Neurospora crassa OR74A: one gene and its partners. The protein of the gene in region 6 interacts with the protein of the main gene of each other region in a pairwise test. Links are inferred from orthologs where the notes say so. Each region holds a gene or a part of one and is shown on either strand. Other genes may lie near its edges. The genes, in order: NCU11251, NCU06678, NCU02305, NCU08026, NCU02546, NCU03085 and NCU06540.

Region 1 (3,931 bases), about 380 kb from region 6:
ACCAGATAGCTCTCGTTATAGCTTGACAGATACGATCCCTCAAAGCCTCTGTCGGCCTTCGTATTCAAGGCTCGCCTCTGCGTCGCTGAGCGTCTGCGCGGTGTTCGGTGGTCAAACTGGGTCCTTGATGGCTTGGAATCGCACGCATCTGGTACTTGAAGAAGGAAGTGGAATTGTCGTCGACGGTCTTCTCGATATGCATTGAGGGTGGAAAGGCTCGATGAGATGTGGTTTTTACTGTCAAGAAGGAGAGAGAGAAAGAGAAAAAAAACAGAAAAGAGAAAAAAGAAGAGAGTTGTGACTGGGGGAGCGTGCGAAGAGAGAGGTCGACAATGGCAACAATGAAATGGAGTTCCGTGGGCAGCAGAAGTTAAAATAAAATGGAGCCCGGACTCTGCACCTGCAGTGAATTAGGATGGGCCTGGACCGGGTTTGTGACCTTGGGTATTACCTATGCACAATTTAGTACCCCTAGGGACTGGAATGCACTAGCCGGGCAGGGGGCCGCGTCCGCCTCACCCAAATATCCCGCCATTGAGCCAACCACGATAAAGAGAAAAGCGTTCACATCATGCGTCACGGTCTGGGCAGGCCGGGCAGGCCGGGCAGGCGAGCAACTGAAAGGGCGGAAAGACCAGCTGGATTGGTCTGGTGAACTTAAAGGAAAAGGAGGAATTGGCGGGCGTTCCATGTCCCAGGAGGAATTGGCGAGAGCACGTGAAAATCGGGTGAGAGACATCAGACATACGTCTCACCCGCATTAAAGGGAATGCACCATCGGCCATTTTCCAGGCTTTTTCCACACTAGCTTTCAACCTGAAAAAAGCCCCATGTTGCTCTCCATGTCCAGAAATGAACCTCCAATACCACACGGCAGGTGTCATGTGTGTATAGGTAGTGTAGTGTACCAAGGCCGCTGGATGCCGACCCCGATCTTCAGTTTTGACAAGTCTGGGGAATCCGAACAGCCGGGGCTCGATTGGCGGTCATTAAACCGCATTGATCGACGGGCTGGGAAGGGGGAACTGGCCGCACCGTTTGTGATCGCGCTTCCATGTCACCTCGGACCAAACCTACCGTGTGCGAAGTGGGTATTAACGAATGTTGACACCAACAAGGAATCTATCACATATCACATGAAACTTTGAAATTTCAAGTACCTCTTTGAATGATCGGTGAAAGCTTCATGGCGATTCGTTGGTTCACCTTAAGACGAGGTGCCCGTGGTGCTAGGACCGAGATGAGCGCATTCAGGTGGGACAGCTTGTTGAGGGTTAGGGTCGAAGATGCGCCGGAAATTTTAGTGGAGCTCCCGCAACAGCAACGGCGCCAGCATTGTAAACTTCCCTGTGATTGCATCACCTGCTATTTCACGACAGCAAGCAAAACATCGAGCCCTCACATCAAACGGTCCTTTAGCAACCACAAGCCGGACTCGAATCACCTGGCTTTACTCGCGTTCAAGTGTCCAGAAGATTTAGCAAACGAACAAACACCGAAAGTTTAGCACTATGCATCCGGCGCGTAGAGCCTACGTGGAGGAGGCCGAGCCTGAGGTAAGACCATGCTCTATATGCGCCCCTCGCATCATTGAAGGCACCTGCTCAACATTGCAAACAGAGCCCGGACTGACCCCCCCTGAAGCAGGATCGCGGAGGCATGGATCTAGACTCCGTCCGTAAGTCCCCAAAACTCTTGTATGGCTTCCAACCCATGACTGATTTGCGTGTTAGCCCTCGATCGCGACTACGACATCCCCGGTGCTGGGGCTGGTATTGCCCCAGAGAAGGCCTCCGTTCTTCTATCGCAGTTTGAACGAAAACGATTAGCGGCTTCGATTGCTGTTCCTACCGACGATGGCCGGGTACGAGCCAAATTGCGAGAGATGGGCGAGCCTGTCACCCTCTTCGGCGAGGGTCCGGCAGACAGACGCGACAGATTACGAGAACTCATGACACAACAAGCCGAAAAGGGAGGTCAGGAAAGTGCCGATGTGGAGATGCGGGACGCCGAAAACGAGGAAGATGAAGCCGGCGACCAAGAGGAGGAATTTTACACTACTGGAAGCCCGGAACTGCTCCAGGCCCGCATCGACATCGCTCACTACTCAATCCCGAGAGCTAAGAAGCGCATCGAGTTCCAGAAGAAGGAGTCCACCATCCCACTGCGGACACATGTCAAACACCGAAAAGAGATCAAGGAGAAGCTTCAAGGGTTTGAATTGCAAGGCAGTCAAACGGCAGGAGAGCGGCACATCAGCATGACAAGGATCTCGCCTGATGGAAACATGGTCGCAACTGGCAATTGGGGCGGACAGGTCAAACTCATCGAAATCCCAACCCTTGAGCCAAGGAAGACTTTGAGGGGCCACACCAACAAAGTCAGCGGCCTATGCTGGATGCCTGGAGCTACACTGCCGGAGCGCAATGTTTCTCCCGACACAGTCAATCTCGCTTCCGGAGGAGCGGAAGGCCAGATTCATCTCTGGTCTTTGAACCAAGACACGCCTTTGAGAACTCTCTCAGGACACTCGCAACGAGTATGTCGTGTAGAGTTCCATCCATCGGGCAAGTATCTGGCTTCTGCCTCAGAAGACACGTCATGGAGGATGTGGGATGTTGAAACCGGCACCGAGCTCCTTCTCCAGGAAGGTCACTCTCGCGGTGTATACGCTGTCAGTTATAACAGTGACGGATCGCTACTCGCTAGCGCGGGTTTGGACAGTATCGGAAGAATCTGGGATCTGCGGACAGGACGGACTGCCATGATTCTAGATGGGCATCAGGACGGCCATATCAAGCCTATTTATGGTTTGGACTGGGGCTCGGACGGTTACAGGGTGCTCACGGCGTCTGCTGATGGTTGGATCAAATGCTGGGACGTTAGAAAAGTGGAAAGAATTGGAGGCATTGGTGCCCATACAAGTGCAGTGGCCGACGTGCGGTGGTTCAAGGGGTTGGATGACCCGTTGGAAGGAGTGCCTCCTGGCGAAGATGAAAAGGGAATGCAAATTCCCAAAAAATCCGGCACCTTTATGGTGTCGGCAGGCTTTGACCACAAGGTGAACATATTTTCCGCTGACGACTGGGCCTTGGTTCAGTCTCTCAGCGGCCACACAGGGCCTGTTGCGAGTGTTGACGTTAGCCGGGATGGAAAATGGATTGTAAGCGGTGGCCATGACCGGACGGTCAAACTTTGGGGAAGAAACGACTCCAGGAGCTTGTATGATTCCTGAGCAGACATCAATCATGTGCGCGACAAGAATCTTGTCGTTGCCTCTCGCATAGGAGCAACACACCAAGGAGGGCGTTCAGCAAGCGACAGGCCAGGGCTTGGCTTACCGCTCCACGAGAGACAGTATCGGCAGATAGATTGCATAGAAGCCGTCTCAATTTGTAGATCAACAACCACAACTGGGTGCCCATAACAAGCTGCCTTTGGTACATGCGTCTGAGTTGCCTTGTGGTTGCGTTTCACTGACCCGGTAAGGATAAGGGGTGTCACCTGACCGCGAAAGTGGGCCTGTTGAGATTCCTTCTCCCTTCTTTTCTGCAGTGACGCGGGCAGGGTTGGGCGGGACACCTGCCGCTCGCGTTGGTTGGCGTTGGTAAAGTCACCCTGGCACCCTGGGAAATGGTGACGCACGGTCCATCGTGCGAAGCTTGGCTTTCTGATAAAGGGCGATAAAACAATGGCAGCAGACGCCATCACCGGGAACTTGTAGCGTTGGTCCGTTTTCGAACCTTTGACTTCTTCGTTTCTCGCATTTCTGCATTTTCAAGTGGTTTTATCCCCAGCCGGTATTTATCGCGAGAGACGTCATTCACAATACCCTCAACTCACAGCATCCGGGCAGCTCAAGTCCCCATGCGCATCAACCCGCTCAAAGCTGTCTGAAGGGCGACACGGGGAGGATTCGCTTATTTGGGAA
Region 2 (4,204 bases), on a different chromosome or scaffold from region 6:
ATATTTTGTTAATACTTCCTTAAACCCGATGAAGAATATTAAAGAGGTTAGAAATTGGACTTTAAAAGATAGTTGTGGCTAGTATAGAATGCCTTCGCCTGGGTTCGAATTCCCAATAGAATACCTCGATAAGTTTTATCTCTCTAGGGAGGAATAGTTCCAGAGGATGTTCGTTGCTAATGGTTAGTATAAGTAAAGCTTGTAATTATATGCGTATTGGGCTATAGTACCCCTCGATCTTCCTTAGGTTATTTTTTTTTTCTTTTTTTTTTTTTTCTTTTTTTATATTATTATCCTTAGGTTATTATTTACAACTAGTTTCATGTGTTGTCTTTATTTAGAGCCGGAATTAAAGTTTTTTATTTTTTTTTCGTTATACTTTCTTATTGTTATATTTATATTAAGGAATATATATTTTATACTATTATATCGAAATAGTCCTAAAGGAGGCGTATTTGGGGTAGCCTGAGGTGAATATTCTTATTGGCTACCTATACGGTACCCGTACTCTAATTTTCTTATATACCTAGGTTAGAGTTTTAATTTACAATTATTAGAAAGGGAATAATAGGAATTACTTCTATAAAGAATACCCGCCACTTAGGTAGCTTAGATAAGTAATTTAATATAGCGCTTTCTCCCCTACTACCTACCTCTATCAATATAAGTGTAATATTGATTGAAAATTGCTGTGAAATAATTGTAAGGCTTTTGTTACTTAGAATAGATATTAATTGTTGAATAAATAAATATAATTAAACAATTATTATATTAATAAGAATATTAGCTTGCAATTAGCAATTTAAGTGAGTATATTTATTATGTTGTATATTTTGTAGTTCGGGTCGTATTGTTGTGGTACAGTTCGCTGTTGTCGTACTTTTGTGCGCTGTTGAACGGTTAATTCCGTTTTGTATACAATACCGCGTTAATAGTCGTTGTACTATTAATTAAAACTACGTATTGTAAAATAAAACCAACTTCAATACAACAATATTCAATTATCTAGTAGATTACAGTAAGAAACAATATTGTGTAAGGATGTTGTAGCCCACAACCCCTGCTCAAGCGTTTTATACTATAAAGGCCTGCTACGCCCACTTTTGTCAGACCCCCCATTCCCTCCAGGGCAGTTCCGTTCCGCTCGTCGAGGGCGGAGGCTCGCTTGAGGTTCGTTACCTTGAGGTTCAGTAGTAGCTGGTGCGGGGAGAGAGCTGACAGTGACAGCCGGGAGCCTGATGAGGTGGCGGAGCGCTCACTACTGGCCTGGCCTGGCCGGGCCGAGCGCTAGTACCTAGCTCTAGAGGTACCTCTACCTCTACGACCGACGCTCACGCCGCCCCCAGGCACACAGTCAACCCGCGTGGGGCAACGGAGGCCAACTAGAAACTGCAGTGTGTCACAGCCTGAACACCTAGCCAGCCCGGAGCCCAGGACCCGACACCTTCTCCGTCCCATCCACACCTCTGACGGACCTTCCACTTTTGTTTCTCTTGCGGTTCCATCTCGTAGACATCACCCACTTCTTCCTTTACCTCCGTCTATCTCGAACATAGGCCGCCAACGTCCTAGGCCACTCCTCGGATTCTCAACCTTTCCGCTTTTCTTAGCACTATAGTAGCTTCTTTTCCCGATTGGCGCTGTCGGTTGCTCCAAGGACACTCCTCTTCTTCCCTTCCATAGACAGCATCTTCAGTCTTGGACCTTGCTGCTTCGTCCCCCCTCGGTTTATTGCACCATTGCGATCCCTGGAGGCTTCGCTATCTAGAAACCCGGCCATTATTATTCAGTGCCGGCATTTGAACGACCAGCTTGACGCCTCTCCTTCGCCCCCTGACAGCAGTAACTAAGTAGACTCCCCGTCTGCGACATCTCCTGCGACCGCTCAGCGCGCCCCAATTTCAGACCTCCTTCGCAAACTTCTAGTAGTGTACACATCTAGTCCGGCACCACAGGCCACTTAGTCAACATGGGGTATATGACTCCCACATCAAAGCTCCTCCCTCGCCGTATACGCGCGCGTTGTTCAGGCGTGTGGCTAATACCCCCTCTTGTCCAGTGTTCCCAAGTTCTTCAGATGGCTCTCGGAGCGGTATCCCGCCATTTCTCAGCTCATCGCCGAGAACCGTATCCCCGAGTTCGACTGCCTTTATGTTCGCTGCTCCCTCCCGAGGCCTGATGGCTGTCTTGCGTTACTTGCCTAGCTAACCGGTTTGCTCAGTTGGACATGAACGGTATCATCCACAACTGTACCCATAAGGACACGAGCGATGTACAATTTCGCATGACAGAGGAGGAGATGTTCATTGCTATATTCAACTACATCGAACATCTCTTCGGGAAAATCAAGCCCAAAAAGCTTTTCTTTATGGCTATAGATGGCGTTGCCCCTCGCGCAAAGATGAACCAACAGCGTGCTCGTCGTTTTCGTACCGCGCTGGACAATGAGAAGGCTAGAGATAAGGCGATTCGTGAGGGCAAGGAATTGCCCAAAGAAGAACCTTTCGACAGTAACTGCATCACACCTGGTATGTCTGGCGCTGGTGCCCGCTTGAATGTTTTCCCCGGAGGCTAACTAGCTGCATAGGAACCGAATTCATGGCCAAGCTCTCGCAACAGCTGAGATATTTCATCCATAAAAAGGTCTCGGAAGACAGGGACTGGCAACAGCCCGAGATTGTCTTGTCTGGACACGAGGTCCCTGGTGAGGGTGAGCACAAGATCATGGAGTACATCCGCAATGCGCGCGCTCAACTCGACTATGACGCGAACGTCCGTCACTGTTTGTATGGCCTCGACGCCGATCTGATCATGCTTGGCCTCCTCAGCCATGACCCTCACTTCTGCCTTCTGCGCGAGGAAGTTACCTTTGGCCGCGGCCCGTCTAAGCATAAGGCAAAGGGACTGGAGGAGCAAAACTTCTATTTGATGCATCTCTGCATAGTCCGCGAGTACCTGGAGCTGGAGTTCCAGGATCTCAAGAAACCTGGAGCCATGTCTTTTCCATTCGATATGGAAAAAGTTATTGACGACTTCATTCTTATGGCATTCTTTGTCGGAAACGACTTCCTTCCCAACCTTCCGCGGCTTCACATCAATGAAGGCGCTCTTTCGCTCATGTTTAGGATCTACAAAGAAATTCTTCCGCGCGGCGACGGATATATCAACGAGGGCGGTAAGGTCAACCTCCAGAGACTCGGCCTGCTTCTGGAAGAACTCGGCAAGGAGGAGTATCGCTTTTTCGAACATGAACATGAGGATCAAAGCTGGCTTCGGGCCAAGAAGATGCTTGAAGATAACGAGGCAGAGACAGCAAAGGCAAAGACCAAGGGCAAGCTCATCGTCACCACGAACCAGAAGAATCTCTGGAAGCAGAAGATCAGGAAATTCCTTATGAATAGGAGCACTAATACGCTTGACCTCGGTACCGAGTTGAAGGCCGAGGACCGCAAGTTTGTCCAAGACTTGGCTGATACTGCTCACATTCCTTGGGCAACTAAGGAAGATGACGAGGGACACCGCCACCTAATCCTGTCCTTCCCCGAGAGAGACGACGAGTCGGAAGAGGACGAGGAAGCCCAGTCAGCCGTTCTCCGTATCATCAAGAAGTACGACAACGCCCAAGTCCTGGATTTAACTGCGGCCGACTCGAAGGCTGCCATGGAGGTTAAATACCAGCAAAAGTTCCAAGAGTGGAAAGACAAGTACTATGCCGAGAAGTTTGAGGATTGGACCCCAGAGAACAAGGAGGACGAACTCCGCAAGTTGACGGAGAATTACGTCCAGGGTCTTCAATGGGTGCTCTACTACTACTACCGTGGTATTGCTTCTTGGCCCTGGTTCTATCGCTACCACTACGCTCCCCTGATTTCCGATGTCATGAAAGGCCTGAAAGCCGACCTTAATTTCAAGATGGGTCAGCCGTTCAAGCCATACGAGCAGCTGATGGGTGTCTTGCCAGACCGCAGCAAAAAGATCGTGCCGACAGCATATTGGGATCTTATGACAAACCCCAATTCTCCCATCATCGACTTCTACCCAAGAGACTTTGAGCTTGACATGAATGGCAAGAAGATGGATTGGGAAGCCGTTGTCAAGATTCCCTTCATTGACGAGAAGCGGCTGCTTGCAGCAATGGGCCCCAAGAACGAACTTCTCTCGGACGTTGAGAAGTCGAGGAACGATTTTGGCGTCGCACTCAAGT
Region 3 (4,062 bases), on a different chromosome or scaffold from region 6:
ACTTTTTGCGTCTTCTTAGATTTGTGTCCTCGGCCGCAGACTCCTTATTATTGATGGCAATCAGCTTGTCTGCTGCCTCTTTGTCTTCTGGTCCAACAACCCACGTCTGCACCACTTCCTTGACCTCCTTGAAAGTCTTGTCCTTCTTCTTCGCCTGGCCGAGATGCCACACGTATCCCGAGTACAGAGCTACTTCAGCAACACCTGCGATGATACTGCCTCCCATGGTGAGGAAAATTCTAGCCGGAGTGCTCCACCAACGCGCCAAGATCCAAAGAGTAGCTGCCACGCCTAGAATGGTGACCATGAAGTTGAAGATGAGCATTAGTTGGCGGTGCACCTCGTCATACGTCACATCATCGTCGCCCATGTCTTCCTTCCGTGTAGGTCTGTTGGCTTCGGCGAATGCCCGAGCCATGCCCGTGCTTGAAGGGAATCGTTGCGAGAAGGTCTCCATGGGTGGAACGGGGTTGATCATGCGTTCATAGACGCGTTCCTCTTCTTCACGGCGAAGTCTGGCCATCAATTCTTTGTATTCATCGGACTGTTTTGGGGATTAGCTATGCCTCCCCAGCTAGTGCAGTGAGGTGAGTAATGTCCACTTACCGGCTCAGGCTTCGGCGGTGGTGGAGGCACATAAACCCTGGAACCTCTCAACAATACCTCCAGGCTGTACTCTTTATGGTGACCGGCGGCTTTGAGTAGATTTCGCAAATCCATGATTTGACCATGTGAGATGGGTGAACCAATGTCGACATCGGTTAATGACGGCTCGCCATCTCGCTGTAGTTTACTTGGGCCATCTGGAACTCTTTGTAGAGCTTCCAAGATGGAAGAGGTCACTGTGAGGAGGACCATGATAGCGTAGTATGATTTGGGTGCGTAAAGTGTGTGATATTTATGCTTGTTCTGATGTCATGGAATGATGAAACGTCGCGAGGGAGCTGTTCCTGGTGTTGTCACTCGATGAGATAAATGCAGTGGAGTCATCAGGTGCACCCAACCCCGAAAACCCCGTTTCTCCAAATTCAGGTCCCTGTACCTGGAGCTCTCACACAGCTTGGATCGATTCAAGTCGAGCTTGTCTGAAAAGAGCAAGATCCGCACCACCAGCCTCAGATCACTCACAAGTCCCCCGAGCTTCAGCCACGTGAAAGCCACAAGAAATGGGACAAATGCCCGCAATGCCAAGCTTTTGGACCTGCAGAGAGGGGCTTATCTGCTGCAGTGAGAATGGAAGGTGACGGATGATCCGAGCGCCAAATTTTTGGAGGATGGAACTTTTCGGGATCGGATGAAGAGGAGCAGTCGCCGTTGTCACGGTACAGTTGTATATTGTAAAGGTCAAGTAAGCCGCGCCCACCAGAGGGAAGACTGCTTACATACCCACCACCGTCCACCGACCGCCGACCACCACACCCACCTCTTCGCCATCCGGATGGTTGGACTGAGCCTCCTCCGAATTCCATAGTGCCACCACACGACCACAGAAAAAAAGTCCATCTACTGCTCAACCCGTGACCCGTCACACCCGGCGACAAGCAAAGCGAGAGCTGTTTTTTTTATTTACTTTCACAACCGACTTCCTGCCACCACCCGATCGGTCCTCAACAACCCCACGACAGTCGCATCCCAGCTCCGAATACACCCTTACATGCAAGAGACACTTGCCAGCTAAACAGTCAACAGTCAATTGGTCCTTCTCGGCAAGAAGGACGTGCGCGGGAAACACGGGAAACATGCAGCTCCGGACGGGAGCGGCTTCGGTGGTTCGGACGGGTCTTGGTCTTACACAGTCGAGATGTGCCGTACAAAGCCTTACAGCAGTGCCCCTCGAGCGGAGGATACGGCAGTCCAAGGCCTTCTACCACAACACCAAGAAGAACGACTCGGCATGGGCTGCTGCTGTCTCGGTGGCCGGCAACATTGTCAACAATGCCGTGACCAAGGCCATCAAGGGCACCGACGGTCTGCCCACCATTGACCCTCTCCGTCTTGTCGCCGGCGAGATGAAGTTCCTAACAGGCAACATCCGCAAGCTCCTGGGCTCTGGCCACCCCTCGCTCGACCGCGCCGCCAAGTACTACACACAGGCCGAGGGCAAGCATGTGCGCCCATTAATCGTCCTTCTCATGTCTCGCGCCACCGCTTTGTGCCCCAAGGCTCCTCAAAGGCAACAATCGACTCTCCAGGCCTCGGCCGCCATTGATACCTCGATCTCGCCTCTCAACATCCTCTCCGACTTCAACCCTTCTGACGCCACTCCCGTCTCCATTCCCGCAGATACCGACATCCTCCCTTCCCAGCGACGACTTGCCGAGATCACCGAGCTGATCCATACCGCCTCGCTTCTTCACGACGATGTCATCGATCACTCCGAGTCCCGCCGCGGCGCTCCCTCCGCCAACCTCGAATTCGGAAACAAGATGGCCGTCCTGGCTGGTGACTTCCTTCTTGGCAGAGCCTCCGTCGCCCTTGCCCGCCTCCGCCACGCCGAAGTCGTCGAGCTTCTTGCTACCGTCATTGCCAACCTTGTCGAGGGCGAGTTCATGCAGCTCAAGAACACGGCTCGCGACGAAAAGAACCCCAAATGGTCCGAGGAGACTCTCACCTACTACCTCCAAAAGACCTACCTCAAGACCGCTTCCCTGATCAGCAAGAGCTGTCGCGCGTCTGCGCTGCTGGGCGGCGCTGATGCGGCGACGGTGGATGCTGCCTACTTGTATGGCAAGAACCTCGGCTTGGCCTTCCAGCTGGTCGACGACATGCTGGACTACACTCGCAGTGAGAAAGAGTTGGGCAAGCCTGCCGGTGCTGATCTTGAGCTGGGCCTGGCGACTGCCCCTCTACTGTTTGCCTGGAAGACGATGCCGGAGCTTGGTCCGTTGGTTGGCAGGAAATTTGAGAAGGAGGGTGATGCTGCTAGGGTATGTTTCTCCTGCTCTGCTAGCTGTTCGATCTCTCTCTCACACACACACTCACACAAATGCTAACATCGTTATGAACAGGCAAGAGAGTTGGTTCTCCAGAGTAACGGCATCGAGCAGACCCGTGCTCTCGCCCAGGATTACGCCGAAAAGGCCATCGAGGCCATCAGCGGGTTCCCAGACAGTGAAGCCAAGGATGGCCTAATAGAAATGGCCGTCAAGACGCTAAAGCGCAACAAGTAAAGCACCACCAAAAAGCAAACAAGAAAAGGGCGACTAACGGCGGTTATTGTGACACCTCCTGAACGATAAAAAAAAATCAGATGGAGAAATGCATACATATGCTACTATGTAGTAGCCCCTGGGTAGAGTGGCACAAGAGTCGAGATCAAGCATAGAGTAGAGGTAGGTAGCCACATAGGTATGTTTGGCTATGGATGTACAGCAACAAAATATGTGGCTACGGGTGTACAAGCACAGGGGGAAAAAAAGGGAAAACGGGAAAGACAAAAAGGGGCCGGCATGACTACCATAGCTAAAGCAGAAGGCTTTTTTTTTGTGGACGTGGATGTGGTTTTGGGCGGACGACACATACGCGGCATACATACATGTACTATCATCATCATCATCTTCTATGATTTTATAAGGGCGCATTTGCGGGAGCAATGGGAAAGATGAATGGGATTGTTGTAAGAAGGAACCTTTGATTCAGCTCAATACCATGCGGGTTTTCAAGGCATCTTGACTATCGGGTCTGCCGCGTGAACTTTGAAACGGGTCGTATTCCAGTTGGGGATTGATCTGCAACAGTTGATTTTATGGTTATCACCTTGGGTGATGTACATTAGGCTAACCATTCCCTCCTTCCATATCCTCCTCCATTACCCACGTTCGATTCGAACCTCATCTTCTTTCTCTCTTCTACCTAGAGGTATCCTGCCCACTAGGTACAACTTTTTTTTTCTCCTTTCTTTTTTTTCAAACAGCTGCAAACTTTCTTTAACCCCCGATAACGCCTTGACCACTACTTCCCCTCTGAGGTGTGGCTGTCGGAATTCTCGATATCTGCGCCGGCGCCGATGTGAGGAGGTGTGGAGGGAGGAGTATTGTACGGCTGGATAACGGGAGTCATCGT
Region 4 (3,620 bases), on a different chromosome or scaffold from region 6:
CAGGAGACTCGGACAACGGAAGCCAAATGACACCCCGAAGGGAGACACCACAACTAGTCCTCACGCCCCGAAAGACGCTCCAGTGCGGATGGATGGCTCGGCCCGTACATATCGTTGAATGGATAGACTGTTGTCATCATTGTGCATGGGACAAAGGAAAAAAAAAAAAGGCAAAGTACCTACCAGATGGGCATGTCGACTCTCCCACTAGACGCAAGATCGTTTTCAGATCCTATATAACTTGAAGTTTGTTAGCCAACTTGCTCGCAGCATGTGTGGTGAGGGCTGTCGTTGCAAGAAAGAGTTGGGGTGATTGCCATATCAGAAGGTTTTGGTATAATTGGTTATCGCTCATTATTATTCAGAAGCAGAACTGAAAATATTTTGTTTCATCATGGACAATCGGGTGGGTGATGATGTCAGGTGGGGGAAAGAAAACAGAAAGGAAAACAATGTGATGCTTACCTAGTGGGTAGAGACTGAGAAAACGGAGTGGAACAGCAACGGTGACAATAACAACTTTGTCTGTACTATTGATTGTCAGTCAACGGTTCCTCCAAATGAGTTGCAAGTGAAGGATGTGTTGAAGGAGTAGTCAGATGGTAGTGCATGTTTGTTCGATCGCTCAGAGATTATCGCGAGAACTGTGGTTATGGGATCATCATGAGATGTGAAAGGCAAGGGGAAATAAACTTACTCTATCCGTGCGAACCAACGTCGGCCATGTCAGACAGCCAGGACATGCTCTCTAGCAATGGGGTTCGCCATCGCAGAATAACCAAGAGCATGCCTGGACAGTTGACATGACCATGCCATTGCTGCGCCAGCGCAGAAGGCTGCCCAACCAAAGCGACCATGAGCACGGTAAGACCATGGTATCATGGCTGCTCCCCAAAGACAGTGGCCATATCAAATGAAGGCATTGATCCAATGCCGACAATCGCAAGCCGTTCCTGCCGTTGCGAACGGTGTGGGTTGGTGGAAGAGTTCAAGATGAGGTTGGAACTGAAGGCGGCAGAGTTTTGTAGCTGCGCAAAAAATTCCTCCATCGGTGGCTTTGACATGGAATTCTGGGTGGGGCATGTGGCTGACTGATCAAAATCGACAGTGAATGTGAGGTTGCGCCACAACTACTTGAATTTGAGAGTGGACCCACTGCAGTGTAGACGGCGACTCTCACGTCTTGTTTTCAACAGTCAACAGAGGTACCAACAGAAGTTACCAACCGTGAAACAAGGAAAGCCATACACAGACGAGGTCTCTTCCTCTTCACCTATCTCAGGATTCTTCGACCAGAGAAGGGCATCGGAAACAACACAGCAATCACCAAGCCCACCATATCTCCGGCCCTCGTATCTTGGCTTCAAAATGGCCGACAGAAGACGTATTAACGGACCGGTTGGGACTACCAACCCTCCCATCTATGACGATGCACCCGAGAAGCAATCCGAAGGTTTCAAGGTCACAAGGTCACGCCCGGCGAACGTAATTCGCAAAATGTGTAAGCACGTCGAGGACAAACCCTCCTGTTTCGCAGACACAGACTAACCTCACGTTTAGATCTCAAGACGGGAGTGACACCGTCGGCCTCTGGCTCTGCTTACCTAGAGATCGAGTCGTCTGGAAACGGCGGCTCTGGCTTGAAGCTCAGTTGCAGCGTTCATGGACCTAGAGCTTTGCCCAGGTCAACACCTTTTTCTCCTCACATCATCTTGTCCACCCATGTCAAGTTTGCACCCTTTGCGACCAAGCAAAGGCGTGGTTACATTCGTGACCCGATCGAGAGAGATCTCGGCACTCACCTTGAGACGGCTCTTCGGGGATCTATCATTGCTGACCGTTGGCCAAAGAGTGGAGTGGATATCATCATCTCCATTGTTGAAGGAGAGCAAGATCGGGAGACCTCCAAGGCCCAGGGTATTGAGGCCTGGGACACCATGAATGCCTTGAGTGGCTGCATCACCGTTGCCTCGGCTGCACTTGCTGACGCTGGCATTGACTGCGTCGACACTGTGGCCGGAGGTGTTGCTGCGTTGGTACAGGACGCAGGTAATGACGCTGCTCCCAGCATAGTTGTCGACCCGATTCCTTCTGAGCATGAGAAGGTTCTTGCAGCGTGCTGCATCGCATATCTTCCCACACGACAAGAGGTCACCAACCTCTGGTTCAAGGGTGACCTACCTGCGTCCGATATGGACGTTTATACGCAGCTGATTGAAAAGGGCATTCAGGCTTCCAAGAGCGCCAACCGCGTGCTCGTGGACTGCCTGAACGAGACCGTTGGGTGATCATGAGGTCGGCGCGGCAATGTATTATTTGTTTTAGCTATGCGCGAATGGGAAATACTCGTATTGAAACCTGTAAGTCCATCAACGGGAAAAACGCATGGAATTCTATGGTCTGACGGTTCATGGTCTTTGAGTACCTCTACGATTTTGGTCGATTTATCGACCCGAAGACCAGCTTCTGATGCAATAGGTCGAGCTACCAGCCACTTGGTCTTTCGCAATAGCCCATATGTAGGGCAGAAGTAACGGAAGATGCCAATCGATAGCAGCGACAACAGAACTGCGTTCCGAGGTTCGGCGGCTGACTGCAAGAATGGAATGGTCAACTTCCGGCGGGAATAGTTTCGAGATGCCTGTCAAGGTCTGACAGGTTGAGCGAGCGCTCTTTTGCTGAAACTCAGCTGGAAGATCGCAGTGTGATGGACGAATGACGTCCAAGAAGCGTTGTGGCTGGTATGCAGAGCTACCCTCTGAGGTTGACTGCCGAAACATTATGAACCGCGGGGTATGAGAAGCTTCCACGTTCTTCGCCTCAATGATCGTCTGTTTCTGAAATTGGAAACATGATGTGGGGAGATTACGCGTATCGTTTCGTTCATAGCAGCACGGCATGTTCGAAGCAGGGCAGACATGGCCAAAGGTGGTGGCTGATCATGAACCGAGGTTTCACTATTACTGCGTAGGGCATACATACACTACACCTGAACTACTTTCTTTTCGTGTCCGGCACGATCTAATCACTTTATCTGAAGGGGACTGTGGTGAATAGCTCGTATCTTTATCAACATTTCGAGGTGGAGGTAACATAACATGATCAACTACATAATCTGCACAAAGATCGAGTAACGTTGCGTTATTACCGGCGTTCTGGTCCGTAACTTTCAGCATTACGAACGCCACCAAGGAAACCCAATGGAACTGAAGTCACTGCATCCGAAGGCGGACGTGGTACCACCACTCACATATTGGCACAGTGCCGGCCGCGTTCAGCGACGGGGCGCCCCCCGGCGTGGCGTGGTCCCGGGCCCCTCTTTCCCCTGAACTTCTCCTTATCTGCCCCCCCACGGTCCCTCCAAAAAACTACAGACATTTCCCAGTTCGGCCCACATTGTCCACTCAGGCGGGAATTGTAAAACGACCTGACAATCCAATCTTTCCCGTCATCCTCCAAAATCTCACCTCACCCAGCTTTCGGGCGAGTTTTCTCTCGCTTCGCACCTGGTCATTTCACTTTTCCCAAAACCACCCCTACTCTCGTTTCTTCCGACGGTCCCGGCTGCCTACCTACCTACCTACCTACCTACCTACCACACTGTACACTTTTAATTATTC
Region 5 (3,934 bases), about 1.8 Mb from region 6:
TATCAGTGACACCGGCCGTCATGATCCGATTGGATCGTTACCAACCCTGAGGTCGGCTATTGAACGCATGCTCGGTTCACCCCAGCCGCCCATCGCGTTCACTGACCGAGTTTACTTCCTGCTCCTCCTTTGCTTCTTCGGGGGAGGTGCTGGCGCAGCCTCGGCTTCTGACTCAGACTCTTCGAGTTCGCTGGCTCCTTCGATGTCGAGGTCGGATCCTTCCTCGTCATCTTCGACGTCAGAGCCCTCCTCCTCGCCATCCTCTTCCTCATCGCTCGACGCGTCCAGGGGTATCATATCTTCAGCAGTGCTCTTCTCCTCACCCTTCTCCTCAGCAGCCTCTTCGACCTCAGAGTCGCTGTCACTGTCGAACCCGGCAAAGTTCTCAGGGTCTTCCTCCTTGGCATCCTCTCCTGCTGAAGCGGGAGTGGTAGCAGGCGCGCTGTCGTCCTCGTCACGTTTCCGCTTCTTGGACATTTCACCGTAGCGTCCTTCGCGACCCTCCATGGTATCAGTCTCACCCTCCTCCTTTTCGGGGGCAGGCGTGAACCAAGGAATCTTGCCTCGCATGAAGTCATTGAGAACCATCTTCGCAACGCCATCAACGTCAGGCTCACCACCCTTGAGAAGTCTGCCGCCCTTCCTAGCAAGCATCTCAAGGAAATGAATATGGTCCTTCCAGCCCTTGAGCTCATATGTCCTCTCCATGTGGTGAGGTTTGACCTTGTTCAATACCGCAGGGATGTATTGCTCCGGGTTATCGACGTTTTCCACACGTACAACACCACGGAGCAGGAGATCCTGTGGCGTATCGTTCTGGTTGGGAGGAACAATGCCAGGGCAGTCGATGAGGTAGATCCTCCTCATCAAGGTGACGTACTGCCAGACCTTGGTCTCTCCGGGAATAGGGGCGACCTTAGCAACGGGCTTCCCACGAAGGGCATTGATGATACTCGACTTGCCGACGTTGGGGTAGCCAACAAGACCGACGCTGATCTGTTTCCTGTCCTTGTGCAGGATACTGAACTGTCTGAGAAGATCGATCAAAGAACCACGACCGAAGGGGTTCTTGATGCTAGATCTCATAGCACATGTAGGATGATCCTTCTGCAGAACGCGAATCCACGCGGCCTATTGTTTTCAGTTAGTCCTCAACTCGTTACTGAATATAACATATATGTATAATGTGAAGAAATGTGTGAATCATAACTAAGAAGACCACCATGGTAGAGTCTGCTCAAAGGCAGGGTGGAATTCAACTCAAACGAAACACGTCCGGTATCCCGTGAAGTCCTCCAAAACGGAGTCCATCAAATCCCCAATCCCAAGACGGGACCAGAGAGGTTGGGAGGTGGATATTAATCTCCCAGCGATGTAACAGACCAATCCCAATGAAGCGCAACTGAATGCGGGAAAGATCCTGACAAAATCCCTGGGAACCTCAGGATTTGCGCGAGGCAAGTCAAGAGATTCAAGCAGAAGGAGTGAAAGCAAATAATGGTCTACACTTACAGCAGTCTTGGAAGGAACAAGATCGATCTTGTTCAGCACGAAAATAAGATGCTTGTGAGGAGCCTCAGTGGCAAGGTATTTCTCAACGTGACGACACCTGGTTCCCAGAGGATCTCTGGCATCGATAACGTGCAGGATGACATCTGACGAATCAATGACCTTGTCTATGTGATGGTTAGCAACCCGAAGTCACAAGTCCCCAAACACAGAAGGACTTACACAGTTCGTTCCAAATACGCTTCGACTGGCCCTTTGTGAAGATAGCCTCCTTGGCCGTCGCGACACTGAAATCCTCCTCTTGAACATCGTCATCGGCAAGACCACCGCCATATCCAGAAGCACCACTTAGAAGCTTGATCTCCTCGAGTCTGGCCTGGTATGTATCCATGCTCTTCTCGCTGTGTTCTGTCAAGTCACCGATCGTGTTGAAGCTGAGTTTTGGCCTCTTCCTTTGGGCCTTGGGGCCAAAGGTCTGTGAAAACGGCTCGCTCTCAATCGTCATCTTGGCTTGGTGCTTCTTCAACGCATCCTTGGGTCCATCTCTGATCAAGCTCATGGGGAGCTTGTTGCTTTTCAACAGCACCGCTACAAGACAAGGTGCGTTAGTCTTGGTCGGCCGGACAAGTGACGGAAGAGTTGAACGTACAGTAAGGATCCTTGTCCTTCTCGGCAATCGCCTCCCGGAAAGATGTCAACGTATCTTGCGAAATGACTCTGGTGTTGTTGAACCATCTCCGGTTCGGCTCGATGACGGCTGTGGGAACATCTCTGCTCTGATACGACGCGGCCTTGACGACCTTGCCCTCCTTGTTGCGAATGGCCTTTCCCTCCTTCAGCACGTTCAAGGCCTTGATCTTCTTTGCGCTCCGGTAGAAGTTCTCGCCCTTGACCTTTGGATCACCCGTCACCTTGCCCTGTCGCTGAATGCGAGACTTTTCCTTCTTTCCTGTTCCCATTTTGGCAGATATCACTCAATGCCAGATTACCGAGTAGGTTGGTGGGTAGAGGATGCAGATGTGGAAGAATTTCGTTCTCGCCTGCGAGAGCGGCTGGGGGTATCCGTAGATCGGGGGGTTTGAGATTGACTTGAAAGAAGAAGCACACGAAAATAGGGAAGAATGGGTAAAAGGCTAGAAACGAGGCTATGGGGTATCAGATATCGGCAGAGGGTGTTGCGTGAGAATCGAGAGGATGAATGGACTGGGGAAGAAGAAAAGAAGAGAGGGAAGCGAGGAAGGAATGAGAAGGAGGAAATGCAACTCTGCGACTGGTCCCGGCGAAAGTTTTGTCAGTTTTTTTTTTGGGCGGGGTGTGGAGGCCGCGCAAAGGTCCCCATGCACAAAAAGTTTAGCGGTGTACGACGGCAGAACGCCCGCGACCAGCAAAGCTAGTAGCACCAAGAGCACTCTAGCGCCGTTCTGGCCTCCCCGAGCTTTCAGAATTTCGACGGAGTTGAAAGCCCCCTCGTACCGCGGCGTGTCCCACGATCCCGAGCCGAACCTACCTACCTAGGAGAGCGAGAGGCCGCTGCACCCGCCTGGTCCGTTCCCTCCGTCGCACGAAACCTCCGCATAGCACGGCCCGGCCAGAAGTCTCCCAACTCCGACCCCATCCCGCTCACCCCGTCTTCAGCCAACCCTCCACCTCAAAAATGGCGCCAACTCTTGCCAGGCCGTCGCTCAGCGGCGTGCAATTTATCCTTTCTTCCCCGACCACAACATGCGCTGCCACCAGCGTAGTAACACGCGCCATCGCCGCCCGATCTTTCAGCACCACCCGATCGGCTAGAGACTCGGTCTCCATCCCCCCCGATTCGCCCAACTACATCAAGGTCCCCGAGCCGCCGCAGTCTTCCGAGGTTAGGCACCCTTTCGTCAAGGGCCACCTCCCGATCCCCCGCTCCATTTTCCCAAAGAAGGGCGTCCCGGAGAAGGTCCAATCCGGCTATGTCAATCGTATCGCTCCCAAGTCCGCCGCCGAGCTGGCTGGTCTGCCGCCCAAGTCGAAACAAGAGTCGTGGCGTCGCAAGATGGCCGAGGCCCGGCGCCAGTCACTCGAGGCCGGTCTGCAGGGACTCTGGCAGCGCAAGGTGAAGCGCGACCAGAAGCAGGCGAAGGAGAGCAAGGCGCGCTACTTGGCGAACAAGCGGGCGGCCCAGGCGCCGGAGCGTCTGGACGAGGTGTTCACGCGCGCGACGATTCGCGAGAGCACGGCCAAGAACACATTCGTACCCCTGGACCCAGAGGCTTTCGTCAAGGCCGAGGAGGCGCGTATTAAACATGCAGAGAAGGAGGCGATGAAGAGCGAGGCGCGCCGGGACGCCGTCGTCCAGCTGTACGTGGCGTCCAAGAACTTCATCGTGGACGAGAAGGAGCTGGAGGAGCACGTCAACAAACACTTCACCGAGAAGATCCACAACGCC
Region 6 (3,672 bases):
GGCGCAAGGATCTGGAGCACGTCAGAAAAATGTCTCCAACACAGGATACTCTTATACACTCACTCCATGCGCACCACTATCCAACGCTCCTGTAAAGGGTACATCAGTAACCGTCTGAGTGATAAGGCAATACGAATGGCACTCACGCTTGACCATCGATGGCTGAAGGTCTGGGATCCGGACAATAGGAGAAACGCCCAGGGCAGCAATGGCCGGAACTGCTTCGTGCATCGCAGCATCTGACCAATATCATTCAGCTCAACAAGCCCCATCATTCACCACCGTATTACGGGTTACCTACCGTCGATGTTTCCATGCTCGCAGTCAACCATTACCCAGTCAGCCCCCGATCGAGCGAGAATCCTCGAGATATTGGCCCCGGGTAGCATCTGCCAGACACCCATAGCAGGGCGGCTTTCCTGGGTGAAGATTTGCTTCAACGAATTGGCCGCCAGCATCTTGGAAGTTGGGTTACCGGAAGACATTGTACGGAGTTGGTGAAGCGGAGTGACGTGAACGACTTTGTTCAGTGAAGAGATATGATGCTTCAGGAGTTTTAACGTACGAAGGGGAGGAAAGGCATGCCAAGTCAGTGGGGATGCAGGTGGAAGCTCGGACTAAGTCAACCCGAACTCTTTTAAAGCAAATCCGATAACACACAGTACACACTATGATTTCAAAGTTGATGTGCAGCTCCGAACCAAGGTCCCGCCGCCACATACTCGAGGTCAACTGTAATAACCTGACGGCAGATGGCGAGGAAATGTACTGGCTGCGTTGGGTGAACAAGTTCAATTGCTGGCCAATTTGGTACACCTTCGGGAGATGTTCGTCCCCTGCCTTCGTCCAAGAGATACACAGTAGGGCGGGGCTCCTACTGCGGGGTTCGCGTCTGTATCTCCCTCCGCATTCGGTTCTACCTAGGCTGTTCTGACTGGAGACACCACAACCTCTGCCGGTATTCGGATTATTGACATGTTCAAACTTTCCGAGTCACGGGAACGGCAGGTTCAATGGGCTTGAATGGTCTCATGGAAGTCCTTCAAGCCATGGTGGACGTTGACATCCGCATCTTGGCCCTGCTATACGTATAAGCTTCCACAGAATTTCATAGGGCTCTTTGAGACTGCCGCAAGTCAGCGACGAGAAGCTCCAGGAGGAGAAAGCTCTGCATTTCTGATGGTAGACCATACGATGATGAAGGCAATTATTCAAGCAGCAACCGAAAACAGTTGAGGGCTGCATTGACACCCCAAAGCGGATAAAAGTAAACAAAGCAACCCTCCCGAATGAAAAGGGGCAAGCTGATGGGTGAGCGTCGCTTTTGCGGCAGGCAATTGAGTGGAGAATGGATCCGCTTCAGAAGCTCCAGCCTTCACCACAGTGCTGGTACGTTGTCTGCCGTGAGCCGTCGTCAGTGATCTGGGCTTGGCGATTCTACGGAAGAACAAGAGAAGCTCCAGCTTCAACGGCGACGTTCTTGTCCCATCCCCACGATTTAACCACATCCCTCCCCGCCAGCATTACGTACCCACTATTCTTCTTTGACGCGGCGCGCCGACCAGGTTGTATTCCTCTTTCGCGATCGGTCAACGAGAAACGAAAACATCAATAACCACGAACCAATTGCCCCATTCGAAGCGACGAACGACCAAACGACCCCATCCGGCCGGGCTTACCAAGATCACACGAAGCGAACAAATTGCCCTCGAGTTGAACCGACGACTTTCTGTCTGCAACCACGTGTTTCGCTTGAATCAATACTCTTCAAGTTAGACCGTGGGCTTTACGTGATACTTTGCTTATCACCGCGGTCTTGGGCCCGCGCATTGCCGGTACGAGAAAACACACAAAGACTACAGTAATAGCATCTACTCATCCGTCACCATGTCGGCGGGCTTGGTAAATTCGTACCTCAACAGTTGGTCTACCCTTCTACCTGAGCCCTTCGGCTTTTTCGACCCCTCTTCCTCTTTCCTCCATTGCTTCGGTCACAAGATCAATTGGTCACGGCATCCCAAAGTTAAAGGATATTCGCAAGACCAGAAAGCTAACAGATCCATCTTTCGTTACTTTAGAAAAGGTTTGCATAATTACAGTCGATGGCCGCACCTTAGTAGGCACACTGATCTCGGTAGACATGAGCACGAATGTGGTCAGTATATGCTCCCTCCCAATCCATACTTCGATACAGTTCCTCTGCCACCTGATAAACAAAACAAAGCATATCGCGAACGACAACTAACCCTCCAACAAACTAGTTCCTACAAAGAGCAGTTGAACGAGTCATTCGCTCCCCCGATGATGACGAGCCCTCGGCCGAGATCGAGCTGGGAACGCACATGATTCGCGGGGACACGGTCTGCCTGGTTGGGTTGGTTGATGAGCCGCTGGACGAGAGCATAGACTGGACCAAAGTCAAGGGGGCTACGATTGGGACGACAAAGCACTAGAATATACCACCGAACCATTGAACCGTTTCTGCGCTATACCTGAGCGCGTGAAGCATGGTGTCACGCTCCCTCAAAACCAAGAAGAGGAGGCAGGAGAAGGAAACCAAGGGGAAAAAAGACAAAAGTCGAACGGTGTGGCGGTCGCGGGCAGTTGACATAAAGGACAACACCGGTGGATAATGTGCGTGGCACACAAGATTTGGTTGCATCATTAGCATTTGACACGCGGAGCTACAGGTTTTCTTTTACTACATTGGTATGCCCAATCGACGATCTTTCTTCCCCTCTTACTTCCCCGTTAAGACTTATGCTGACCGACGAAGAAAAAATAAAACAAGGTGTCACGGGCAGGTCCAGCTCTCGGTTTAAGGAACCCAGCGAATATTGATTTCAGATACCCCAGATCTCAAAAACTCCGCGTGGAATAGATTCGCTTTCTATATACAAAAGAAGAAGAAAATCAACAAGTGCTGCCGGCAGGTTCAACCAAAGAGTCTATCCATCAAGATGGCGGCAAACTTCTCGTCGCCGGGGGTCTTGACCATCCTGTTAATTCTGTTTCCCTTGTTCACGCTTAGCCAGCCCATGTCGTCTCCGGGGACATCGTCAAAGGTGGTCGCATCCAGAGGATCCGACGGATGCGTCTCCACCTTGCTTGACTGCTCACCCGGCTTCGCCCTCTGTCGTCTGTCGATGACATGCATGCCCCTGGTCCATTGGCCGGAGGTCTCAATTCTAATATCTTCCGGCTTCGCCACGGGTTCCCATGCGGGGTCATCCTGGGTCAACATGTACCAAATGCATGCCGGGTCATGGAGGGACAGACCGGGCTCACTGCCGTCGCCAAGCATGGCTTCGACTTTGTTGAAGATGCCTGTCATGAAGGTCTCGATCCACAGCGCAAGCGGGCTGCCGGACTTGGTGATCGGCTGGATGGTCTCGTAGAAGTACTTTTTCCTCAGCTCGAGCGGGGTGGTGATATCAAGAGGGAAAAGGGTCAGCTTAAGCTGCTTGGAAAGCTTGGCGGGGTAAGGGGGCAAAAAAGATTTGCCGTGGATGACAGGGGGCATGGTCGAGCTCGGGTTGGGCGAGGTCAGGGCGTAGACGCGGGCGGCGGCAACGGTATCGGCGAAGCAGTTGAACTCGGCGACGGGGGTCACGTTGCCCTCGACGTTTACGGCACCACCCATGACAACCAGCTCCTTGGCGCGCAGGAAGG
Region 7 (4,093 bases), on a different chromosome or scaffold from region 6:
TAGAGGTAGTTAGGTGCGAACTAGCCTGTAATGAAAACATCCCAAAAGTGTCGGTATCTACCTACAACATCCTCAGCAACGTCCGCAAGTGGCCTAAATAATATCTACATACCTACCAGAAGCTATCGCATTCCCCGTTCCTGATGGTCGCTTGCGGTGCATTCCCCTGAGCACCTCAATGTTTCCGTCCGGCCAGGACCAAAAGATTGGCCGCGGGGGTAGGCGGCAGGGAAAGACATTAGGGTGCCCTCGGTGCCCCCACAGCTTCGTCGTCACCTGTATCCGCAGGTACCCCATTATTGCGGGCCGTGACGGTTCTAGCGTGGCCCTGTTAGTAAGGGACAAAAACCCCCTTGAGACGGGCGTCGTCAACTTCCAGGGGCACTACCTACCTCTACGACGACTTCAGTTCACATGTCGCATCCGTCAACGGAGGGGTATGTCTTGAGCTTCTTGATCCTTTTACCACGCTGAGAAGTGGCTGATTAGCTCATACTATGATACTTGGGTTAATATGATCTGCTGCCGGCCTGCTCCCTCCGCATTGCTCCTCCGATCGGAGTAGTTCTTCAAGATGGCGAAGAACACCGACTTGAGTGATGGCCATGATACCTCCCTCTCAAAAGAAACAACAGGGAAATACCAGGCCCCTGATATAATTCAAGTTCGACTGCATACTATGTACAGTAAAGTCACCTGTCAAGAAAACAGCCTTAAGATAGCCATGCCATGTTTGCCTCTGTCCATGTCCGCGCTTCCGCTTCACCTGCATCGGAATGGCGAATTCACATACTTAGAAGCACAGTCTAAACAGCTGCGTTTAGTCACGGATGTCACGGCAGCAAAATGGATGCCTGAGCTACTGTCCTTGCCCTTCAGCTTTCTTGCCAAAATCGATATCTCGAGCTTGAAATTTGGTTGTCGGCTTGGCGTTAAATGTTGACCATGAGGTTGCCGTCCCGTCCGGGTCTCATGTTGTAGCCTCCAGTTGATCACTGTTACGCATCACAACTAGCGGGCGGGTATCGCCGATTGGCTCATCGGATAAAACAACTTGCAAGACTGGAAGGATGGAATGGACATTCTTGCCGGCGGTTGAGGATCCCACAGCCCGGCAGGCAATGGGCCTCTGGTTGCCGCCCAACCGTGGCAATCACTCCCCCGGCCGCGGCCTTGGAAGTCCCATCGTCAGTCAACGAACGGCAAGACAGGAGGGTGGTGTGTCAAAGCGTCAGGCCTACCGCCGCCCGCCCACCTGTTGCCAGGCTCCATTGGCCCTCGGGGGCGATTGGTCCACAGCTCCCTGATCTGGCTTCTGAGTTGGAGTTGGCCTGACTTCATCCATCTGCGTCGGTCTCTTGTCGCCTTTTGCGCTGCCATCAAGCTACCACTCCGAGCAACCGCATCCACATCTTCACCGCGGCGCACCCAGTTGCGCTTCCGGTCGTTAGTTCACAGCCTTCTTTGCTTCTCTGTTTTAATATTTCCAAGCCGAGCGCTGAGTATTTGTTGCCGCCCTGACAAGCTCTGCTCCGCTCCTTTGCACGAGTCGCACCGCCGTCGACACGTCTCCTTTCCCTTCACGTCGCGCATCGCAGCATCATGGTGCTTGACCAAACCGATCATACCAACATCTTTACATATCGTTCTGTACGTTGTTCTTTGATTTCTCTACAGCGTGCTTGCAACCTCGGTATGGCAAGGTCATGGGATGAAAGTTGGGCTCCCATGTCCCAATTCTCCATCTTCCATGTCGTTGTTGTTGCCCCGCGCTTCAAGAGACAGCTCACCACCCCCAGCTAGGTGGAACATCCATCGAGTCGCCCCTCTGCTTGGCTCGGGCTGTTTGACCACTGGACCTTCAAGCCCTTCCTGTTTCCCCTTCCACCCAGAACTTCGTGAACCTGCGTCACGGCTGTTCCTTCTTTATACTTCTCGTCCCACTCACCAACCAGGGTCTCGTCTTTTGCTTTGCCCCTCATTTTCCTCTGTGCCCTTGCCAATCAGCCAAAGCTCAACATCGCACCCGGATTTGCGCCGCAACGATCTTTCTTCGCTCAACGTATACTGACCCTACAATAGTGATACCTCTGTAGAAATTTTCCATAAACCCAACAGGCATCGCCAATATGTCTTTCTTCAACTTCGACCAGTCTCGCCATAATACCGCCGCTCCCGGCTTCTCCCAGGCTCACGATCCCTTTGCCAGCCTAGCCAACCGGGACGAGGAAGCCGAAGAGATCGACTTCGAGGACACTTATGACGGCTTGGGTGACCAGCTGGATGAGACCGACGATGCCTTCAATGATGATACTTTTGGCGGCGATACTGGCGAGCCGGGTCCTGTAGGCAAAGACTTTGACTTCTTTGGCCACACCGCCAAGGTCGCGAACGTCATTGAAGAGGAAAATGTTCGTTTCAACCGCCAACAACCAGCTGCCAAGGCTCCCCAGCCTGTCGCGCAGCCATCGGCCTATACGCCCATCGCCGGACCCTCGTACAACTATTTCGCGCAGGCTCCAGTTAGACCTGCCAGGACCGGCTACGAAAAATACCACGAGCAGCCGATCGAGGATCTTCAGGTTGACGCTGCTCTCTGGGGTGTCGCACCCAAGAAGCAACCGCCGCCGCCTGCTCAACCTGCCGTCCCTAGCGCGCCGTCTGGGGGCCGCAAGATGCTGAGTCTTGAGGAGGTTGAGGCTCAGATGCGCGCCCAGGCTAAGGCGGCCACCCCATCTCCCGCTCCTCAGCATCAGCCCCATCAAATTCCACATGAACAGGCTTACCTCTACCAGCACCAAGCTCAGAACCAGCCGCAGGCTCACTTCCAAGCCGGTGTCGTTGAACCTCTGTACCATCAACCGCAGGGACATCCCATGACAATTCTTCAGCGGCCTCACTCGAAGCCTCCTACGCCAGCCCAGCCCTCTTCCCAACCGCCCGCTATTCAACAGCATCAGCAACCCGCTGTTCCTCAGCAGCCTACTCAGATCCTGCAGAACCCCAACCGTCTTTCAGGCGACGCGGCTAAGATCGGGCTGCCTGTTCACCCTACGCCTCCGTCCGGTCCTCAGTCCGCTCACCAGGGCCACAGGCAACAAGGCTCTCTTCCGCGACAGCCCCCTATGATTCTTCATCCTGCCCAGCTGGCTCAGCTCTCGGAGGAGGAAAAGGCTGCGTATCTTGAACAGGAAGCTAAGCGCGCCAAGCGCAACCACAAGATCTTCCAAATGTCTCGCGACAATGGTATCATGACGCCACAGGACAAGAATTTCATCACCCGGATCCAGCTTCAGCAGCTTGTCGCAGCCACTGGAAATCCCAATGAACACGGCACAGACGAGTCACTCGCCGAGGACTTTTACTATCAAGTCCATAGTCAGATCCAGGCTGGCCATCGCCAGCACCCCAGCCAGCCTCTGAACCAGTTCGCTCAGACTTATCTGTTTCAGACAGGAAGCCGTCAAGGAGGTATGCGCCGCCATAACAGGGGTCCTGAAAACCATATGCAGAGGATGGAACAACAGGTCCAGCGTGCTGTTGAGGCGGCCAAGAACAAGCCCAAGAATAAGCAGCTTGTTATTGAAGGTAGCTTGGGCAAGATTTCCTTCAGCAACGCCAAGACCCCGAAGCCGCTTCTCAACATCAAGCGTAACGACAGCGCCAGCGATGTGAAGAAGGCACCGCATCCTGTTAATGGCCGGGACAAGAAGGACGAACTGAGGGCCCTCGAGCTGGTATACACTACACTTATGAAGATGGAAGACCACGAACGCAACATGCCTATGGCGCCTGCCGAGGACGATCAAGAAGCTCTTGCCAAGGTCTTTGCATGGAGTAACGAGGGACAGGCGTTGAATGAGCAGCTTTGGAAGGCTCTGAGGGTGCAGGATCACGACCAGCCAGGCCGCATCCACCCCTTCATGGCCCTTCTCAGTTACAGTAAGGGCAAGAAAGCCATACCGCGCATCTTCCGTCACACGAACCACGAGCAAAGAATTACCATTTTCACACGCATTGTCGTGAATCTCGACCAACTCGACGTTGTCCGAGAAGCTCAGGTTACAACTGATGACATCCAGTTCAACGCCGC

Evidence for each region.
Region 1: the proteins of NCU03085 (region 6) and NCU11251 interact in binary tests that used the Saccharomyces cerevisiae proteins (3 or more experiments, as listed by UniProt). The link is inferred for Neurospora crassa OR74A from reciprocal best matches to the Saccharomyces cerevisiae genes LSM8 and PRP4.
Region 2: the proteins of NCU03085 (region 6) and NCU06678 interact in a two-hybrid assay, tested with the Saccharomyces cerevisiae proteins (2 studies listed by BioGRID). The link is inferred for Neurospora crassa OR74A from reciprocal best matches to the Saccharomyces cerevisiae genes LSM8 and XRN1.
Region 3: the proteins of NCU03085 (region 6) and NCU02305 interact in a two-hybrid assay, tested with the Saccharomyces cerevisiae proteins (2 studies listed by BioGRID). The link is inferred for Neurospora crassa OR74A from reciprocal best matches to the Saccharomyces cerevisiae genes LSM8 and COQ1.
Region 4: the proteins of NCU03085 (region 6) and NCU08026 interact in a two-hybrid assay, tested with the Saccharomyces cerevisiae proteins (3 studies listed by BioGRID). The link is inferred for Neurospora crassa OR74A from reciprocal best matches to the Saccharomyces cerevisiae genes LSM8 and MTR3.
Region 5: the proteins of NCU03085 (region 6) and NCU02546 interact in a two-hybrid assay, tested with the Saccharomyces cerevisiae proteins (2 studies listed by BioGRID). The link is inferred for Neurospora crassa OR74A from reciprocal best matches to the Saccharomyces cerevisiae genes LSM8 and NOG2.
Region 7: the proteins of NCU03085 (region 6) and NCU06540 interact in a two-hybrid assay, tested with the Saccharomyces cerevisiae proteins (2 studies listed by BioGRID). The link is inferred for Neurospora crassa OR74A from reciprocal best matches to the Saccharomyces cerevisiae genes LSM8 and PAT1.

What each region holds. Positions count from the first base shown.
Region 1 is NC_026501.1:4,871,908-4,875,838, reverse strand, and holds NCU11251 (pre-mRNA splicing factor), read left to right. Parts: upstream 1-1,354; 5' UTR 1,355-1,511; coding exon 1,512-1,556; intron 1,557-1,620; exon of another isoform or gene 1,621-1,644; coding exon 1,645-1,678; intron 1,679-1,733; coding exon 1,734-3,235; 3' UTR 3,236-3,431; downstream 3,432-3,931. UniProt on the Saccharomyces cerevisiae protein: Involved in RNA splicing. Is required for the association of U4/U6 snRNP with U5 snRNP in an early step of spliceosome assembly.
Region 2 is NC_026505.1:4,232,173-4,236,376, reverse strand, and holds the start of NCU06678 (exonuclease Kem1), read left to right. Parts: upstream 1-1,404; 5' UTR 1,405-1,969; coding exon 1,970-1,974; intron 1,975-2,059; coding exon 2,060-2,153; intron 2,154-2,221; coding exon 2,222-2,528; intron 2,529-2,587; coding exon 2,588-4,204. UniProt on the Saccharomyces cerevisiae protein: Multifunctional protein that exhibits several independent functions at different levels of the cellular processes. 5'-3' exonuclease component of the nonsense-mediated mRNA decay (NMD) which is a highly conserved mRNA degradation pathway, an RNA surveillance system whose role is to identify and rid cells of mRNA with premature termination codons and thus prevents accumulation of potentially harmful truncated proteins.
Region 3 is NC_026507.1:2,992,345-2,996,406, reverse strand, and holds NCU02305 (decaprenyl-diphosphate synthase subunit 1), read left to right. Parts: upstream 1-1,262; 5' UTR 1,263-1,739; coding exon 1,740-2,927; intron 2,928-3,008; coding exon 3,009-3,170; 3' UTR 3,171-3,658; downstream 3,659-4,062. Other genes in the region: NCU02304 (hypothetical protein), read right to left, coding at 1-544, 607-858; NCU02306 (hypothetical protein), read right to left, coding at 3,659-3,728, 3,956-4,062. UniProt on the Saccharomyces cerevisiae protein: Assembly of polyisoprenoid side chains.
Region 4 is NC_026504.1:3,956,973-3,960,592, forward strand, and holds NCU08026 (3' exoribonuclease), read left to right. Parts: upstream 1-1,175; 5' UTR 1,176-1,368; coding exon 1,369-1,501; intron 1,502-1,560; coding exon 1,561-2,288; 3' UTR 2,289-2,360; intron 2,361-2,422; 3' UTR 2,423-3,120; downstream 3,121-3,620.
Region 5 is NC_026501.1:2,685,352-2,689,285, reverse strand, and holds the start of NCU02546 (nucleolar GTP-binding protein 2), read right to left. Parts: upstream 2,801-3,934; 5' UTR 2,469-2,800; coding exon 2,159-2,468; intron 2,098-2,158; coding exon 1,732-2,097; intron 1,677-1,731; coding exon 1,513-1,676; intron 1,132-1,512; coding exon 112-1,131; 3' UTR 1-111. Other genes in the region: NCU02545 (hypothetical protein), read left to right, coding at 3,164-3,934. UniProt on the Saccharomyces cerevisiae protein: GTPase that associates with pre-60S ribosomal subunits in the nucleolus and is required for their nuclear export and maturation.
Region 6 is NC_026501.1:4,492,938-4,496,609, reverse strand, and holds NCU03085 (small nuclear ribonucleoprotein Lsm8), read left to right. Parts: upstream 1-1,407; 5' UTR 1,408-1,887; coding exon 1,888-1,921; intron 1,922-2,078; coding exon 2,079-2,155; intron 2,156-2,261; coding exon 2,262-2,453; 3' UTR 2,454-2,935; downstream 2,936-3,672. Other genes in the region: NCU03086 (HpcH/HpaI aldolase/citrate lyase family protein), read right to left, coding at 1-11, 64-89, 147-239, 302-485; NCU03084 (inosine-uridine preferring nucleoside hydrolase, variant), read right to left, coding at 2,936-3,672. UniProt on the Saccharomyces cerevisiae protein: Component of the nuclear LSM2-LSM8 complex, which is involved in spliceosome assembly. The LSM2-LSM8 complex plays a role in the biogenesis of the spliceosomal U4/U6-U5 tri-snRNP complex by accelerating PRP24-mediated annealing of U4/U6 di-snRNA.
Region 7 is NC_026504.1:1,578,099-1,582,191, reverse strand, and holds the start of NCU06540 (topisomerase II associated protein), read left to right. Parts: upstream 1-1,293; 5' UTR 1,294-1,650; intron 1,651-2,082; 5' UTR 2,083-2,129; coding exon 2,130-4,093. UniProt on the Saccharomyces cerevisiae protein: Activator of decapping that functions as a general and active mechanism of translational repression and required for P-body formation. First decay factor recruited to mRNA, at a time when the mRNA is still associated with translation factors.